Linked DNA regions of Caenorhabditis elegans. The protein of the gene in region 4 interacts with the protein of the main gene of each other region in a pairwise test. Each region holds a gene or a part of one and is shown on either strand. Other genes may lie near its edges.

Region 1 (4,062 bases), about 10 Mb from region 4:
TTTCAGCACAATTTTCAAATGTAAGAAATTCAAAAACTCACAATATCGGTAAGCAAGCAGTGAAGCCAGAATGGCTACGGTAATTAAAATTTTACGAGCTTTCATTAGTGGGAATTTAGCAATCAGATTTGAAACCGAAAACTCATGGATTCAAACAATTCAACAATGAAAAAGGAAACAAATTCACGTGTAAAGAGAGTGGGAGAGTGAGAGAGATGCAGAGAAAGTGCAAATACGAAAGGGGCAATGATAAAGAAGAGAGCAACTGATAAGAAAGTATTTTTCTCTAACTATCTATTTTTCTAACCTGAAGTCCAATTTGGTTCCTACAGTGCGCCCAACTGCTATGGGACACCCCCTAATTTCTGTGGTTTTAGGCATTTCTGAATTTTTTGCGGATTAATAATACTAGAGTTGGGTTCATCATACTAAAAAAGTCTGTAACTGCACTTTTATCATGATACCTCAAATATTAAGGTTCGTTCAAAATAAAATAGATAATTTCAAATGTTTGGTCGTTAGCAGATTTATTATCACGTATTTAAGTTGAGCAAAAAAACATTTTCAGAGAGAAAAAAATTGTTCATCATCTTCCGAGTCTTCCTGCGTTACATCAAGCTCTAGTTCTTCCTCTTCTTTGCCATTGGAGTCATCATCCAATTCTTCATCTCTCCCAATTATATCAAAAGAATCTTCATCGGATTCTTCAATTATTTTGTCTTCCACTAACTTTTCCGCTTCATCACTCATTCTGGGCTCATTCTCGGACTCTTCTAAGTCTTCATGCTCATCTCTGAATTTTTGATAGATAACTAGGTCCTTAACTGGAGCTTCTTTTGAGCTCAGCGATTCTCGAGCTTCCGATTTTTTGAAAGTTTCTGAGAGCCTTGGCTCAATTGAGGACTCTCCTTCCTGATCTTCATCGTCCAAGTCCTCGTCAGAACTATCTTCTTCTTCACCTTCCACGTAAGACTCGTCGTCATCATCCTCCTCTTCATCACCTCTGATCTCCAACTCCCCAAATTTAATGAGATCCTTGTTGGTCCCTTCTGAACTCTCCTTCCGACCTGAGATCCCACTCGAGCTGAACATCTGCTTCAGCTTTTCCGCCGTCTCGTTCAACAGTGCACAGGCACCAGTCGAAATATCGTCGACAGTCAAGTTTTCATTTTGAAGGAAACTGTTCATATTCCCTAGGCATTCTTCGAGAACTCTCAAGAGCTGAGATCTTTCGTGGAAATCCTTGTGTCTTACAACTTCATCGACCAGTTGGTCAAAATTTTCAATACAATTGTTTAAGGCTTCTGAGAGATTCGGATTCGGTGAGTCTTGCCCAAGTTCAGAATCGGAGGTTTCACTTTCATAATCTGTTTCGTCTTCAGAATCGGTTTCCGGCTCATTATTCTCAGCAATCTGAAAAAAAACATTGTCTTGTTAAATTTAAACACAAAAATAAAAGTCGGAAGTTTAAGACGGAACCCACATTCGAGACCGCAGGCTACTACTAATTCGGCATATGCCTTTTTTACGTGGTTTCAGGCTGTCACGTGGTGTCAGAGTGTCTCATTTCGGCTTGATCTACCCAGATCTACAAAAATGCGGGAGAAAAGACGCAGAGTTCTCAACTGATATAGCTTGGTTAGGAATGCGCTGACGTCACATTTTTGGACAAAAAATTCCAGCATTTTTGTAGATCAAACCGTAATGGTACAGTCCAGCACTACGTGGGCTGTCGCATCGCTCCACTTCACACGAAAGGCGGGAAAATATTATTTGAAAATTTGTGACGTCACAGCGTATTTCGAATAAAAGCGTCGATTTGTGTGAAATTTGTATATAAATAATATCTACCATTCATATAAATGGTAGATCAAAGCTGTTATAAGCTTAAAATTTAGCAAAAATTTGCACAAAAATTGCACAAACTCACGTTTTCTCCATACATTCGATTCCATCTCATGCACTCCGAGCATCCCAAATGTGCAACAAAAAGCGGCTCACGTTCATTGGACTCATCAAAAACGAAGGGACGAATGATATTGTTACTATCAATCACAATTGTAATCTTCTTTTGAGTTTCATTACAGTATTTTGTGAAGAATCGTGGACTAGATGGGGCAATGGGTCTAAAAATTACAATTTTATAAAGAATTTGGGGAAAAAACGGGTTTAAAACTCACTTGAAATAGTCTTCGTATCCCAGAGATTTGAAGAAAGATTGGAGAAACGAGAGCATTGTTGAATAAAAGAATAACCGACTTCACTGGGTAAGAGCTAATTAACTAAAGAACTAAATAACCATCTTTTTTAGGCATCTGGAAAAAAACGTATTACAGTCTAGGTCTCTCGTTACCCAGTGCTATTTCGACGCGCCTGTTGATCAAGTGTAGTTTGCGCGTCTGAAAAATCTTGTACAGGCGATCTAGGAAAAAGGAGGTCATCTGGGACCCATGTAGTGCAATATGACGTCACTTGGGTTTCTGGGAAGAAGGGTTAAAGGGAACAATATAATTGAGAAGAGAACGTATGTATGTATTAAGGAAACACAAAATGCTGAGAATGCGTATTGCACAACATATTTGACGCTCAAAATATCTCGTAGCGAAAACTACAGTAATTGATTACTGTTGTGCTCGTGTCGATTTACGGGCTTGATCGATACAGTAGTCATTTAACGAGTTACTGTAGTTTTCGCTACGAGATATTTTGCGCTTCAAATATGTTGTGCAATACGCATTTTCAGAATTTGCTGTTCCCCTAACAACTCATGTAAATATTGAATTATAGCTTTTGCAGATTTGAGAGACAAGTTTGGAAAAATGCTTGGCTCACCGTAAATTACTGTAACTTTGAAACCGTTGAAGGTTCAACAATGTGTCATATTAATACAATTTAGCTGTAATACATAATTTTTAGTAAAATTCCAGATTTTTTAAGTTATCACCGCTCAAAGTTACAAAAAAAAGTCATTTTTTCAAGTTTTTTCTCGGAGTTTTTCATCACACCTACAAGCATTATAGGTACCTTCATATACCCAAAAACCTCCTGATCCATCAATTCATTAAGACCCCAAAAACCCCCCGAAACTCTGCCATATTATTGTGTACTCAATCTTTAATGTGCTCATTTTGCTCATTTATAATGTTCCGTGAAGCGCCTAATGCACCGCTGTGACCATTCATTATTAGCTTTGCTATGTTATTACTCAATCCCCTCCCTACTTTTAGGTTGAAAATATTTGGTTTTTTAAAAGTTATTTTCAGGACTAAAAGGTGGAAAAAGAAGAAGTTAGGATAGTAGAGTTAAACTAACAATTAGCGATTTCCGTTCTCGCGAGGCATGAAGACATATAGGGGCAGCAGTCGTTTAGTATTTGGGCTCAATTTTCTAGAATGCACGCATTTCTCTTATTTTTGTCTCTGCAAAAAACATCGTCTAGCAGCGAGTGGTTTCGATCCACCGACCTCTGGGTTATGGGCCCAGCACGCTTCCACTGCGCCACGCTGCTGCAATTTTCCACCTGTCTTGAGGGTCATCATGTATTCTAGTAGAATGACGTCAGAGATCAAGAGGAGATGTAACCAAAAAAGGGTGGCAGGTGGTCTAGTGGCCTCTGTTTCTCTGTGGAACAAATCCTAATATCAAATTTTTTTTTCAAACCAAAGTTCCGTAATGTGTGTCCGAGACATAAAGGAAAAGACTCCTAGTTTAGGGGGTGGGAGGAGTGCAAATTACATTCCATTTTGCCTTTCTTTCACTCTAGTATTCCAAAATCCCGCCGTCCTTTCCCTTTTCCTAGTAGCAACAGCTATTGTTATTTCTGGTGTTGGCTGCTGTTGCATATTGGTTATTATTAGGCCTGGCAAAACTTTTTGCACACAGAGGCTGCTCCTCACGGGGTGGAAATTAGTATGGTTTATCCGTTTACTTCAAACGGCATAACTTCAAATGATGTTTAGGTAAAATTGTTCTAAACTTATTTTCTGAAAGGGTAATATGTAAAGTTGTTTTTGGTATATTGTTAGTAAATTAATCATACATATATTTTGGGATATATGTAGG
Region 2 (5,086 bases), on a different chromosome or scaffold from region 4:
AAAGTTTAAAAAATTTATAAACGTTAGCTGATCTTTTGTTCGATTTTCAATTTTTTTTGAAATGAAGCTTCTTCGTGAAATGCTTGTTTGAACAGCTGGAGATTATCATTTTTCACAGAAAATTCAAATAATCCACTCTGAGAAAAAATGTTAGGAACAATTCCAAATCCTATGTACTAAAAATTCAGGCACTTCCTCATGTGATATATTGCCGTGTCTATCGTTGGCCAGATCTTCAATCACATCATGAATTGAAAGCAATTGAAGATTGCCGATTCTGCTACGAATCAGGGCAAAAGGATATTTGCATTAATCCATATCATTACAAAAGAGTTCATGCAACTGGAGTACTTCCACCAGTTCTTGTACCTCGTTATTCCGAGAAACCACCACAAGAAGTGCCCCCAACTCTGGCGAAATTTCAGTTGATGGAGATGAGCGGATCAAGAATGCCGCAGAATGTCAATATGGCAAACGTTAATTTTACGTAAGTGTTTAAAAAATATATGGTATTACTGATTGAAGAAAAATTGAAATATCTGGTATTTATGAGATTATCGGGAACAAAAAAACAAAAAAGCGAAGAATAAAATAAGAAAACGAACACAGTAGGTAAGGAACGGAACTGGAAAACGGATGGGTTGATTTTGAGAAACCCGAAAACTTAAAAAAAAAACGGGGAAATGAGGGGAAAAACAGGTAACAAAGCAGCCTATCAACTATTCAAAAATTCTTTAAATTAATACATATCGAGCATTTCAGCTGCACGTTTCTTAGCATTCATCAATGGAATCATTCTCTTCAACATGAGAAGTTCTCGTGGTGGGGCAAATAGAGCTGCATTTCGAATTGATTCCATTGCTCGCTCGTAATTTTCTCTGAAAGGACTTGGATTTTTTAGTGGAACTCTGAAACTTTTTTACTTACTTCTTGATCATCGGCTCTGGCCCGTTAGTTCCCAAAAGATGAAGAACGTGAGCCGAGAAATTGAATGGATCAACTGCAATTGCTGCGTTGGCACTTTCAGTTGTCAATCTGAGTCGTTCAGCTTCTGGTTTGTGCACGTGGAGATCACTGGAAAATTAATTGTATTTAACGTAGAACTTAGAAGCCGATGGGAATTTCAATTTAAAATTCGCAGGCTGGTCCCTAATGACGTGATTGAACAAAAAATTCGCACTTTTTGATTTTTCAACTTTCCGATAGCTTAAATTTTTGCCATTTTCCTTCCTTTTAAAAGAAAATTATACTTCTTCTTTTTTCAACAACAGAAACAAAATTTATTTCAAAAATCGAATTTTATGAGTATATTCTTCGATTCTTTTTTTTTTTTTTTTGAAAAAAATCGAAAAGTCAAAAAAAATTTTTAATTTTCGATTTTTTGTTTTATTTTTTTTTTCATAAAATCTCGGCAACTGGTACCAGTCGGCGAATTTCAGAAAATTAAAATCTAAACTTACGCAGTCTGCAAATGCCTACTTGGCACCAAATATCTCGTAGTAATCCTTGCAGCCTCTTCGAGCAACTTCTTCGAGCTCTCCTCATTATTAGTCATCATATATACTTTGGACATAAGAACCAGATTGAAATGAGTAGATCTACTCTCTGCGAGTTCTTCCATTTCTCGGATTCGTCGATGAACATCAGCGTAGTCTTCGCTGGTACACAACTTCAGGAATGTAACAATCATGGAAAGATGTGGAGTGAGAGTTCCGTTCTTTTCAGCTTCTGTGAGAAGTCTATTGGCATTGTTCTGGAAAATTAAATAATTATAAATAAGAAAATTATGAATTTAAATTTACTGTATCCGCCATCATTTGTTGCTCATGATTCGTCACTGCTGTATCGAGAACACATCCATTATACTGAAACCATATTTTTAGAGAATAAAAATGATTTAATCGAATTACCACAAAAATAGATGCAAACGAATAAAGTTTGAAAAGTCTTTCCTTATCGTCTTTTGGAACTGATTCCAGGAATCTGAAAATTAGAAAAAATTAGACAAGACCTGGAAATATTTTGGAAAATCAAGAAAAAAAACTAACTTATCCAAATCTGCCATAGTATACATTAGCTCAATCTTGAGAATATCGAAAGCATCTCTCATTAGTTTTTTGCGTTCCTCATCCTCTTCTGATCCAATCAGTTCGTTAATTTTTGCTCCAACTTTATCGATATATCTCGTTGCCTCGTTAGGATCAGTACTGTAGCTTAGCATTTTTCCACGCAAGATCATTGCCGGAGGATAGCTGTTTTCCTCAGTAAGCAGATCAATCAGTTCTTCGTATTTTCCTTTTTTGAACTTTTCCAGTGCAAGTTGGTATTGTCTGAAATTTATAATTATTTTTACTGTATATCTAGAATTAGAGCTTACTTCTGGTCTTCACTGAGCACTTCTGGTTCGAATCTGGTGAGATCTGTTTTGAAAAGATCAAGAATATCCCAAGTATCACACCACTGCTGAATTCTGAACAAAGCTACTGGCTGTGGCTTAACATCTTCGATTTTGAGTGGTTTTCCAATGTGACAGTCGGACATCTAGAATAAAAAGTTGAGTTTCTTTAAGAAATTGTTAGGCTCTTACGGGTTCTATAGCAAGAAGCTTTCCAAAGAATTCGAAATTCGTCTTATTCAGGCTAGAATCCAAAGTGAACGCGGCAAGAAGATCTAAAAACAGGAATTGATACTTTTCTCGTAACATCTTCAGAAACTCACACGCCAGAGCATCCTGTTTCTTTCCGACGTCATTAAGTGCTTTTGCTGCTCTCAAGTATGCTTTGGTGTATTTTTTGTCTACTTTCAATGCAGCCATACAGTCGTTGAGGATATCAAAAGGGCTGTGTCCAACCTTTTCACGACAGGCTGCACGATTTTGGTAGAGCATTGCGACAATTTGATCAGAAGAGTTTGGTCCGGCCTTTTCGACTCCTTTTGTGAATGCTTCTAGTGCGGAATCGTATTGTTTCTCTTTAAACTTCAAATTTCCCAATGCTTTTATTTCCTCCAAGTCCCTTTCCAGCTGAAATTAGTTTTGAAATTGATATCATTGTACACTAGAAACTCACGTCTGAACCTCCAAAACTCTTATATACCAAGTATCCTACACCTGCAACTGTCGCTGCAGCTGCCACACCGATCAGCACTTTTTTCGTTTGGTCGCTGATTCCAGTCGTTTCGACCATTATATCTACAAAATAATAAATAGATAAATGATATAAGTTAAGATTAAGTTAGAAAAATTGAGAATTCAAAGAGAATGAAGAAAAATTGGTAAAATGATGTAAAATTTCAGTGATAAGAAAAGTAGGCAATATTTACGATAAACAGCATGCGGTGGAATTCCGGAGTATCGTCGCAAGTTGTAAATAAAATTGGATCCAAAATAACTTTGAGAGGGAAAAGGTTACGAAAAGAAAAAAAGGTTGAAATATTATCAATATATTTTCTAATTAGGGATTTAATAAATAATTTTCTAGAGCCAACCAATTTCATCAATACAATCCAAATGGAATTGAGGAAATGGATACTTCTCAGAAATTCGACATTCCACCAGGAGTTCCAACATGTCTCGTGCCATTCGATAAAGTTTGGGAAGAACAATTCTGGGCAACTGTTAGCTATTATGAATTGAATACAAGAGTCGGAGAACAGGTTAAAGTGTCTTCAACAACTATAACTATCGATGGATTCACTGATCCATGCATCAATGGAAGCAAAATTAGCCTGGGACTGTTTTCGAATGTAAATCGAAATGCAACTATTGAAAATACAAGAAGACATATTGGAAACGGTAAGAGCACCCACGGCCTCGCCACGAACGAATTACTTTCAAATCAAGGCCGAGCAAAACACGCGTGCGCCTTCAAGAAGTACAGTAACCTGATTTTCGGGAGATTGGGTACCGTACTTCGGCGCATAATTTTTGCAAGACTATGACTAAAAAATTGAAAATTTTCAAACTTTTTGTAATTCCAGGTGTCAAGCTAACCTACGTACGTAGCAATGGCTCACTCTTTGCTCAATGTGAAAGTGATTCAGCTATATTCGTACAATCTAGTAATTGTAATTATATCAATGGATTTCACTCAACAACTGTTGTTAAAATTGCAAATAAGTGTTCACTGAAGATTTTCGATATGGAGATTTTTAGACAGGTAAGCTAATTCACGTAATTGCAATGTTTGAGTCAAGAAAAGGTCTCGTCACGCACAAAATAACTTAAAATTGCAGTCTCACAGCAATATGTGTACCTTTAAGCAGTACGGTAGCCTATTCTTATACTTTTTGAAAAAAACTGGGTTACTGTACTTTTTAAAGGTACACACATTAAAACTGGCGAAGCCATGTTCTTGGGCAAAAAATAGTAACTGAAACTATTAGGTCTCCAAATAAGTTCCGGGTCAAAAATCATAACTTTGTTCACTGCGTATCGATTTTTATGAAACTGTGGGAATTTATGTTATCAACCATGATCTTTCATTTGACAATAGTCACAAAATTTTTTTGCCGTCCGAAGTGCCCTAACTCGGAGCCAAATTTTTCAGGCATTTTTCAGATCTCGCTTCTTTTACGTTTTGATTTGAGGTTCGTGTGCGGATTTAGCTTTGTTTAGTACACAATGTAAGAAAACAAGAAAAGTTTGGAAAAAATCCGTTAAAAAAAAAATTTTTTTTGTCGGTCGTCAAAAAATGTTCAAAAAAATTTTTGTCCAAAATTCTTGATTTTTCATACAAAAATGATGTAACCATGTGCAAAATAAATAGTTTGCACATGGTTACATCATATTTGTATAAAAAATCAAGAATTTTCGACAAAAACTTTTTTGAGCATTTTTTGACGACCGACAAAAAAATTTTTTTTTGGACGGATTTTTTTCTAAACTTTTCTTGTTTTCTTACATTGTGTACTAAACAAAGCTAAATCCGCACACAAACCTCAAATCAAAGCGTAAAAGAAGCGAGATCTGAAAAATGCCTGAAAACATTGGCTCCGAGTTAGGGCACTTCGGACGGCCAAAAAATTTTGTGACTATTGTCAAATGAAAGATCATGGTTGATAACATAAATTCCCACAGTTTCATAAA
Region 3 (5,727 bases), on a different chromosome or scaffold from region 4:
GAATGTCTTCTGGTTCATGCGGATCTGAGCGAGTTCAATCTTCTCTTAACTCCTGATAATAAAGTTCACGTGATCGATGTGTCTCAAGCAATGGATCTATCTCATCCACGATCATTACAATTCCTCACTCGTGACATTCAAAATATTATCACATTCTTCACTCGTATCGGAACTCCAAATCTTCCAACCTACGTTCAACTATTCAATCTGATTACTGACCTCGATATGGTAGAAGATCATGATTTGCTCGTCCAAGTTGAACAATTTTCCGAAGAGAATAGATCCGTAGACTTACGTCATGATAAATCTCGGCCAGCTGATATGGAGCTCAAGAAATATAATGAAGAGAAGAAAGCGAATCGAGGCATTTCACCGGCGAGAGAGTATAATTAATCAAATTTAATTTAAATATTATATTTAAGTATCGTTTGTTGTTTTTCTTTTCTATTTTTTGCTCCTTTGGTTTGTTTACTTTAATGTATTGTTTAACGTGTTACTTCAGATTACATAGACAGAGGAGCACCTTCATTAAAATAATACAAGATTCAGATAGAGCAATATTCAATACCTTCCAGCAAACTTCGCTCGCAGAGCATCTTGTTTAGCTTCCGACTGATCTGCATTTGGTGGCATCCATGTTGAGTATTTCTCATCTCGATCCTCAACACCTGCACCGTAATCTTCTGATCCAGCGATCTTCTTTTCAATATCACGCCGTCGGACTCTTTGAACCTTTTTCTTAGCTTCTTCTTCCGCTTCAAGCTTTTGCTTTTTCGCGAGTTCTTCTTTTTCAGCTTCAAGCTCCTCTTCCCATTGTGCAACTCTCTTCTGAACTTTGCTGCCGAATGCTTCTTTCTGTGGAGTTTCTTCAGAAACTTCGTCTTTTACCGAGCTTGGTTCATCTACAGCCGGTAAAGAATTCTTTATTTCAGATGAATCCAATGATGCAGCAATTTCTTTCTCAACTTTTAATGGAGTCATCTTCTTCTCATGTTCAACTTCCACAGCTTTTGTTGAGGTTGGGGCTACTGTAGCTGGAAGAGTAGCTGAAGTCGACGGTCCTGGTCCTTGTGAAGGTGTTTGATCAATTTCTTTTCTTGCTCGAACACCCATCAACTTTTTAAGGAATGCTTGTCGATCATTGGCAGCAGTAGTTTCCAGTTGTTCCAATCCTTTTACTACAGCTGGCTTAGCAATTTTGACCAACTTTTCGAGTTTTTGAGATTCGTGTGTCGCTGCCATCAGTTTTTGACGCCATTTTGACTTTTCCATTTTGGTCTGAAAATGAATAATTATTGAAGATCAGAATATCACTTTAAACGTTTCCAAATCCTACCTTTGCATCGTCTCCCGCTCCGCCAGATTTCTCCAACTGCCGGATGTAATCATCTAGAACATCACCCCCTTGATCAATTGTTCTAGATTTCTTTGTTCCAGCTGACAATTCATCCAAATGTTTCTGACATTCGATTATTTCTTTCTTCGATTCTTCCAATTTTCTACATAAACTCTCATAGGTATCTGTTTCGGTTCTTTTATGCCCAAATCCTTCTTCAGCCCACTGCTTTCGTTTTTCACGTTGTTTTTCCAACTGTCCAGTTCTATCAAGATACAGATCGTCGTCTTCATCGTAATAATCATTGGCTTCAAGAGTTTTTCGTTGCATTCGGAGTTTGGTATTTGATTTCCGAAGAACATTATACGTATCGAGAATTCGGCATGCATCGAGAGCACATTGAATTTGAGCATCTTTTTTGGAAGTTGATACAGTTGCCGATGCAGTGAAGGCACGATCAACTCCGTCGATTTCAACAGGTAACCTGGAATAATGTATTTTTATAGAAGTTGAAAATTAATAATCTGGTTGATTCCTGAAACCTAAATATTTAGCAGACCATAAATGGGTCTGCTAAATATTCAGCAGACCATACATGGATCTGCTAAATATTTAGCAGACCATAAATGGGTCTGCTAAATATTTAGCAGACCATACATGGATCTGCTAAATATTCAGCATAGGGACTAGCGTGAATGGGGTTTTTCTTCAAAAAATCAAAAATTGTCTCAAATTCAGAAAAAAAAACTTTAAAAATCGAAAAGGAATGAAAAAACAATTTTAAAAACGTGATTATCACTGTTGGCTAAATTTTATGTTTGAATCATTATTTCGTGATTATTTTTTGTATTTCTGTTGTGGTATTTCTGAACTTGAGACAGTTTAGGATTTTTGAAGCGAAATTCTCTTCTCCCTCTCTCTCTCTCTCTCTACTCCGCCTTTAACTACCTAGTTTTTTGAGCTTGTGAAAATTTTAATTAATTTTTTTTTTAGTTCAAAACGATTTTTTCTTGAAAATAAATTTCAAAAACTCACTCAATAGAACAGACCCATTTGTGTGTATGACCTTGTCCCTGTTCACTGAATTCAAAATTCATATCAAATCCTTCCCGTTCAAAAAACTTCTGCAACGCCTTTTTTGGATCCTGATTATAATAAGCTTCTCGATCCTCCATCAAATGTGCATCAGTTTCAACAGTAGTCAATGGTTTCTCATCTTCTCCATAATCCATTCCCCATCCACATCCTTCTTCTTCTTTTTCACGTTTTTCATCGTCAATCATTTCTTGTGCTGCAGCGGCTCTCAATTTTGCTTCCAATTCTTTTTTGTGTTTTCTTAACTTCATTTCAGTTGGTGAACAATCCCATTCCGGCTCTGAATCCTCTTCAGGCCCAACAAAATTCAATATTCGAGTACTTTCTCCAAACTGAAAAATGAATCCAACTCTGGTTCTGATGTATTGTTTCGGTGGTAATCGTTTTTTATTCATACGGCTTCCATGGGTACTTCCCAATTCAAAAATATGCCATCCTTTTCCAGTTTTTGACATTTTATCATTTCCATATTGTAAAATACAGTGATATCTTGAAATTGATGGATGTTCCATTAAAAGATCACATCCTGGCTTGATTCTTCCGATAACTACGAACGTTGAATTCTTTCGATTTGACAAATCATACGAAGCAATTAATTTTCCTTCTTTCAGAATCTGAAAAAATTGTTTTTATTTTATTTTGTATCAACAGAAAAATTGAGAAAATTAGCATTAAAATTACGGTTTCTGGTCCTAACACTACAATTTTTGTTAAATGCGAGAATATGTGCGCCTTTAAAGAGTACTGTAATTTCAAATTTTCATTGCTGCTTAATTTTCACCGAATTTTCATAGTTTTTCTCTCGATTTGTCAAAATTGAAATGTAATATATTTGCATATTCAGGTTTTTTAATAAATTAATTTAATTCATATCGAAAAAAAAACTACAGTACTTTAAAGGAGCAGACGTTGTTACATTTAACAAAAAATTTTCGTGTCGAGACCGGGTACCGAATTTTTTGTGCAAAATTTCGCGTCTGGGTAATATGTACCTCAAACTGAAATTTATGAGCTGGATCCGGTTCACAAGCCCAAGGAGGCACTTCATAGTGTAGAGCTGGTGCTTGCACTGAAATTTTCGATTCTTTTTCAGCTTGAACTTCCGCAGTCTGAAAGAAAAATGATTATTTCAATATATATATAATCAATAAATATTTTTCAAACCTCAATTTCATCAATAACTCCTTCAACTGGACCGTCCATCTGTTCAGCGGGAGCTCGAATTTTTTCAGGCGACATTGGAGCCGGAGCATGATGAGATGGAGGTAAACTTGGTGATTTGAAGGCTCCGTCTGATTCAGACATTACGCTGAAATATTTATTATTTGATTTCTGAGCTAAAAATACGGTAGCCGGTCTCCGCACGAAAAAGGTTTGAGGAAAAAATGATGTGCACCATTATAGAATACTGTAATTTTAAATTAAAGGGATTTTCATCGTTTTTTTAAAATAAAAATAAGATTATTCATTAGCAAGCTCAAGAATAACATTAAAAACATGAATTATCGAAAAACGGGAGAAAAAAAACAAAAAAATATGAATCTGTAAATTACAGTACTCTTTAAAGGCGCACATCCGTTTTCATTTAACAAACATTTATCGTTTCGAGACTAGGTACCGTGTTTTTGGCACAGAAATCCCAATATTTTACATCTGGATAACTAAAAGATTCGGTTTGCGAAAGTTGTCCACGAGAAGTACATGGCCGTCAATGAAACTAGGCCGCAGCCCATACATTTTTCACTTTGAACACATAGCAATAGTTTGGAAATATTGATGAAAATTCATTCACAAAAGTTCCGGTGATAGTCATACTCAAGTTAATTGCAAATTAGTGAGTTGATGATGATGATAAAAATAATGATAAACGGTAAAAGAGCCTGGATAAGAGATCAATACACACGGGAAGCAATTATTTCAATTATTCGTCGGCAATAACATAGTTCGGATGAACACAGAGAGTTGGATCTTCTCCTTGCTCAACTTCAAGAAGAACGTGATCCTGGTGAATGAGACGATGAATTACACGCTCGCAAATAGTCTTTTGTACGTTGAAGTCTTCCTCCGTCTCCAAATCTGCTTCGATTGTCGACAAGTACCTAAAAACCAGAAATTTAAATTTAAATATTTGAATATTTAAACAAACCATTCAACAAGTGCACTCTGCTTGACACCATCATACTCGTCTTCTCCTTGATTGTCTTCATCGGATCGCATATGTAAAACGAGAACATCAGACAATTGCTTGTATTCCTTGAATGAGATTTTGAGCTTTGCTATATCAATCTTCGGAGCATTTTCCTTCTCTCCATCATGATCCATACTATCATCTCCTCTTTGATTCTCTTTGTCTGCTTCAACAACCATGATATTGTTGTCAAAGTCGTCATCATCCAAAGCAATGTCTGGTTGCTCAACTCTGACGATAGACTTGTTGAGAAGTTCGGCAGCCTTTTCGACATGTTCCACCAGTACTTCCTTTCCACAGTGAAGACGAGCAAGAGCCTCAGACAGACGAACGAGAGACTCCAATTGACGAACAGTGATTCTCCATGATGACGTGGCTGCATTGTTGCTGTCAGACATACGAAGTTTCTTGTACTCTCGAACAAGAGTTTCAGCAGCTTTATCCGAAATCTTCGGCTTGAAGCAACGAGCAAACGCGATATACTTCTTGATATCATCAATTTTGTAAACACTGTCACGTTCAGTATGCTCACTGATCGCACGATGATTATCAAGGATCCGACGGGCAATAGCGTAATCAGTAACTTCATTGCACTCATCGACCAACACAAAGAAAAGATCGAAACGTGACATAATCGGAGCTGACATCTGGACATTATACTTCAACGGACGACTTCTATCATAACGTCCATTAACTGGATTTGCAGCGGCAAGAATTGATGCACGGGCATTCAATGTTGCTTTGACTCCAGCTTTGGTGATGGAAATGGTTTGTTGTTCCATTGCCTCGTGAATGGCAACCTGATCCTTGAGGTCCATTTTGTCGAACTCATCAATACAACAAACTCCATTGTCGGCAAGCATGAGAGCTCCAGCTTCAATGACAAACTCGAACGATTCCTCGTCTTTTACAACAGCAGCAGTCAGACCAGCAGCTGAAGATGCTTTTCCAGAAGTGTAAATAGCTCTTGGACTGAACTCTTCCACAGCTTTCAGAACTTGCGACTTGGCAGTTGATGGATCTCCAACAAGACAAACGTTGATATCACCTCTCAGTGAAGTTCCTTCGTCCCTGCTCTTCTTCGCGACACCTCCAAGAAGCATCAGAA
Region 4 (3,718 bases):
AACTGGCAATTTGCCGACTTTCCGAATTTGTGGACAAAAAAAATTGCCGAACGGGAATTGCCGGCCCCTGGTGTACTCTACGTTCAAAACAAATTTGTAATTTTTGTTAACATAAAATTTGAAATAAAAATCTTTATGCTTCGTTTTTATGGCGGCCGAGATTTTTATTCTATACGGGTTTTGTTGCAAAATATTGATTTTTATGACTTCGATTTTCATTTAATATTGATTTTTGTCGAAATATCGATTTCCCAAAATATCGATTTTTTAAAAAGCAACTTTTGTAATATATCGATTTTCGGCGCTTTTTAATTGAACATACGGTATTACTAGGGCTTCCATTCCTGCGCCGGCGAGGCGCCTTCGCCGACCAGCGAGACGCCTCAGTCATGTATAGTGCGGCGCGGAACCCCGAACGTGTCGGACGCTTCCAAATAACAGCGGCGATGGCCGGCCGGCGCGAGACGCACCGCCGCTCACCCATGGAAGCCCAAAGTCTTACAAAATATCTACACTGCTTTATTCACAAATTCATAGAAAACCGCGTTCAATTTCTCATCGGTTGCTGTCGTTTGCTGTTGCGCTCTATTGAACACTTCCATATCTCTCAACAATTCCATTTTGGCACGCTCCTCGTCGGCTTTTGTGAAATGGCGCTTCCGACGGAACAAGAGAATGTGCTTCTCCGGGTTATGAACCATGTAGTGCTCCCATCCAAGTGACTGAAAAGTATGAAAAATCAATAATTCGGCCACATTCAGAAATTTAATATTGATTTTTTTTCGTCGATTTTATGACTATCGGTTTTCTTGAAATATCGATTCTATCAACATATTAATGTTTATTTAAAACAAATTTTCATTAAAGGCAAATTGCCGGAATTGAAAATTTCGGGCAAATCGGTAAGCCGGCCAATTGCCGGAATTGAAAATTTCTGGCAAATCGGCAAACCGACACATAGCCGGAATTGAAAATTTCTGGCAAATCAAAAAACCGGCAAATTGCCGAAGTTTAAAATTTCTGGAAATCGGCAAATCGGCAAACTGCCGGAATTGAAAATTTCTGGCAAATTGCCGGAATTGAAAATTTCTGGCAAGTCGGCTAACCGGCAAATTGCCGGAATTGAAAGTTCCTGGCAAATCGGCAAATCGGCACATAGCCGGAATTGAAAATGTCTGGCAAATCGGCAAACCGGCACATAGCCGGAATTGAAAATGTCTGGCAAATCGGCAAACCGGCACATAGCCGGAATTGAAAATGTCTGGCAAATCGGCAAACCGGCACATAGCCGGAATTGAAAATTTCTGGAAAATCGGCAAACCGGCAATTTGCCGAACATGAGAATTTCCGGCAAATCAGCAAACCGGCAATTAAATTATCGGGCCGGCGTAAGGCCCACATTTCGCACCTCACTCGGCTGGGAGCCTTGCTTAATTTAATAAAAAATATTTTAAAATATTGGCTTTTTCAAAATATCAATTTTGTGAATTATCGATTTTTGGAAAAATCTATTTTTTTTAATTATCGATTTTTTTCCTAAAATCTTAACATATCACTTAATTGAAAATATACCTGTTGAACTCCAGCACGTCTCCATTCAGCCTCACTAAGAAGTCTTCCCTTTGGCACTTTTCTCGAGACGGCTTGCGGAAGAATGACGTGGCGATATTCGTATTCATCATCTTCGTAACGTGGCGAATAGTAGATATCTTCCATTTTTCAAAAACTCTTATTCTTCGATGTTAATTGTACGACAAGTAGGGAATGAATGATTGTTGAGGAGTTTTGGAAATGTTGTTGGAACAATTAGGAAGAGGGGGGGGGGCAAGGTTACGTGGACAATTCTTTTTTTTTAAATTCTGAAATGTTGTATTTATTTTACAAATCACGTGGAGTATTCCGAATATCGATGTAAAAAAAATTCAACAAAAAAATCCCTGATTTTATATTTGAGCTTGAAATCGCCGAATTTCATTTGTGCCCCCGCATAATTTTTTCAAATTCGCATTGGAGCGCGCTTGCATCGTTTTATTTACTTCATTTATTTTTCAGTTTTATGAAAGAAAAAAGAATCGCTTCATATGGTTTTTCAGTACTTTTGAATTTTTGAAAAAATAGATTTTAACTAAATTTTGCAATTTTTCAAAATAATCTTCCGGTCAAGCTAGCATACTCTTTTTGATACTTTCTGGTATTTCTGATCATGCTGAACAGTAATATAAAAGAAAAAAGAAGCACTTCATATGATTTTGGCGTACTTTTGAATTTTTGAAAAATACAGCTTTTGGTCAAATTGTGCAATTTTTTAAAATATGTTCCGGATTGACTAGCATACTTTTTTTTAGTATTTTCTGGTATTTCTGATCATGCTGAACAGTATTATAAAAGAAAAAAGAAGCACTTCATATGATTTTTCAGTACTTTTGAATTTTTGAAAAATACAACTTTTGCTTTTTTTTAACAATTGAAATCGATTGGCATTATCAAATTTTTATGAAAAATGTCAAAACTCGAAACTTTGGGGGATTCTATAGAAAATACACATTACCGAATCTAAAAGCTCCCCACACTTTCATCTTTCTTCTACGAATTTTGCAGATTTCTTGATTTTTTTCCCATCTTTCCAAATTTGATTTTCGATTCCCTGTGCTGACGTGTCGTCCCCCGCAACAATTCCCAATTCCCGTCCCTCCAATAATTCGATTATTCATAACGATCATACCGCCCATCTTGTCGCTTAAAAGGAGCCCACCATCCCGTCTTTTCCGCAGATAGTCGCCTCACAATATGTGGCTGACAAATTATTTTCTTCTCGTTTTTCTTCTCTTCAGAACTATTCATGGACTCGCCGATGGATCCGAGACCACTGTCAAGGAGTTTTTGAGCAAAGTGTCAGATGAAATTGCTACTAGAGATGCTTCCCGGATTGCTACACTATTTTCCGATGGGTTCTCGTTTCAAGGATGCAAGGGAAAATATGACAAGGGTGAGTGTTTTAGGCAATTTCCTTAAGATGTTGAAAAATTGACGGGATTCTTGAATGATCTGTAAGCTCTCGCAAAGTTATAATTAAGTAGTTTCGGTGCTATTTTGAAACAATTTAACATCTCTGTTAGGGCTCCCATGAGGTCGCCGCAACGAGTCCCGCGCCGACCTCAGCGGTAGCCGCGCCGGCCTCACGGTGTCGGCGTCACTCACGCCGCATGTATCCGAATGTATAGTGCGGCACGGAACCCCGAACTTGTCGGCCGCCAACCACAGTTTCGAACTACGTTGTGCACTGCACACACCAAGCTACTCGTTTCACGCCAAGCTGCGGAACCCCGAACTTGTCGGCCGCTCCAAATAACTACCCTTCGCACTTCGTTGCATACACACATCGGTGCGCGGAGGTCGGCGTGAGGCCCGCATTTCGCGCCTCACTCTGCTGGGAGCCCTAACACGACCCGAGAAGGGGGGCCTGTACGTAATTTGTCTACCGTATACCTGGAAGTTTGGGCGGGTTTTTTTTCCTCAAAAACGGCTGGTCGAACATTTTTTGGTGCATGTAAAAAAATGTCCGATAATAAATTCTACATTTTTTGGACCAAAACTTTTTTTTAAAACTCGCCCAAACCTGGTTAAACTCAAATTATCAGTAGAGCGCATATGTATGGATGTACCACTAGCCTAATCTCTATTGTGAATCCCTCCGTAATGGGGTTATTCAAGTAGTGTC

Evidence for each region.
Region 1: the proteins of Y71G12B.27 (region 4) and F14B6.3 interact in a two-hybrid assay, tested with the Caenorhabditis elegans proteins (one large-scale study listed by BioGRID).
Region 2: the proteins of Y71G12B.27 (region 4) and tomm-70 interact in a two-hybrid assay, tested with the Caenorhabditis elegans proteins (one large-scale study listed by BioGRID).
Region 3: the proteins of Y71G12B.27 (region 4) and ZK632.2 interact in a two-hybrid assay, tested with the Caenorhabditis elegans proteins (one large-scale study listed by BioGRID).

What each region holds. Positions count from the first base shown.
Region 1 is NC_003279.8:12,228,755-12,232,816, reverse strand, and holds F14B6.3 (uncharacterized protein), read right to left. Parts: upstream 2,400-4,062; 5' UTR 2,237-2,399; coding exon 2,181-2,236; intron 2,127-2,180; coding exon 1,931-2,126; intron 1,414-1,930; coding exon 565-1,413; 3' UTR 514-564; downstream 1-513. Other genes in the region: F14B6.6 (Hexosyltransferase), read right to left, coding at 42-105.
Region 2 is NC_003281.10:8,751,561-8,756,646, forward strand, and holds tomm-70 (Mitochondrial import receptor subunit tomm-70), read right to left. Parts: upstream 3,191-5,086; 5' UTR 3,186-3,190; coding exon 3,069-3,185; intron 3,023-3,068; coding exon 2,719-3,022; intron 2,671-2,718; coding exon 2,588-2,670; intron 2,542-2,587; coding exon 2,378-2,541; intron 2,331-2,377; coding exon 2,049-2,330; intron 1,984-2,048; coding exon 1,911-1,983; intron 1,866-1,910; coding exon 1,803-1,865; intron 1,754-1,802; coding exon 1,461-1,753; intron 1,075-1,460; coding exon 928-1,074; intron 879-927; coding exon 740-878; 3' UTR 535-739; downstream 1-534. Other genes in the region: Dwarfin sma-2, read left to right, coding at 189-487, 3,480-3,793, 3,979-4,157. UniProt on the Caenorhabditis elegans protein: Receptor that accelerates the import of all mitochondrial precursor proteins.
Region 3 is NC_003281.10:9,797,120-9,802,846, reverse strand, and holds ZK632.2 (uncharacterized protein), read right to left. Parts: upstream 3,741-5,727; 5' UTR 3,737-3,740; coding exon 3,596-3,736; intron 3,541-3,595; coding exon 3,424-3,540; intron 3,046-3,423; coding exon 2,372-3,045; intron 1,821-2,371; coding exon 1,337-1,820; intron 1,279-1,336; coding exon 562-1,278; 3' UTR 514-561; downstream 1-513. Other genes in the region: riok-3 (Serine/threonine-protein kinase RIO3), read left to right, coding at 1-393; DNA replication licensing factor mcm-6, read right to left, coding at 4,353-4,530, 4,578-5,727.
Region 4 is NC_003279.8:1,796,930-1,800,647, forward strand, and holds Y71G12B.27 (Cyclin-dependent kinases regulatory subunit), read right to left. Parts: upstream 1,794-3,718; 5' UTR 1,717-1,793; coding exon 1,573-1,716; intron 723-1,572; coding exon 510-722; 3' UTR 506-509; downstream 1-505. Other genes in the region: Y71G12B.5 (Apolipophorin), read left to right, coding at 2,788-2,986.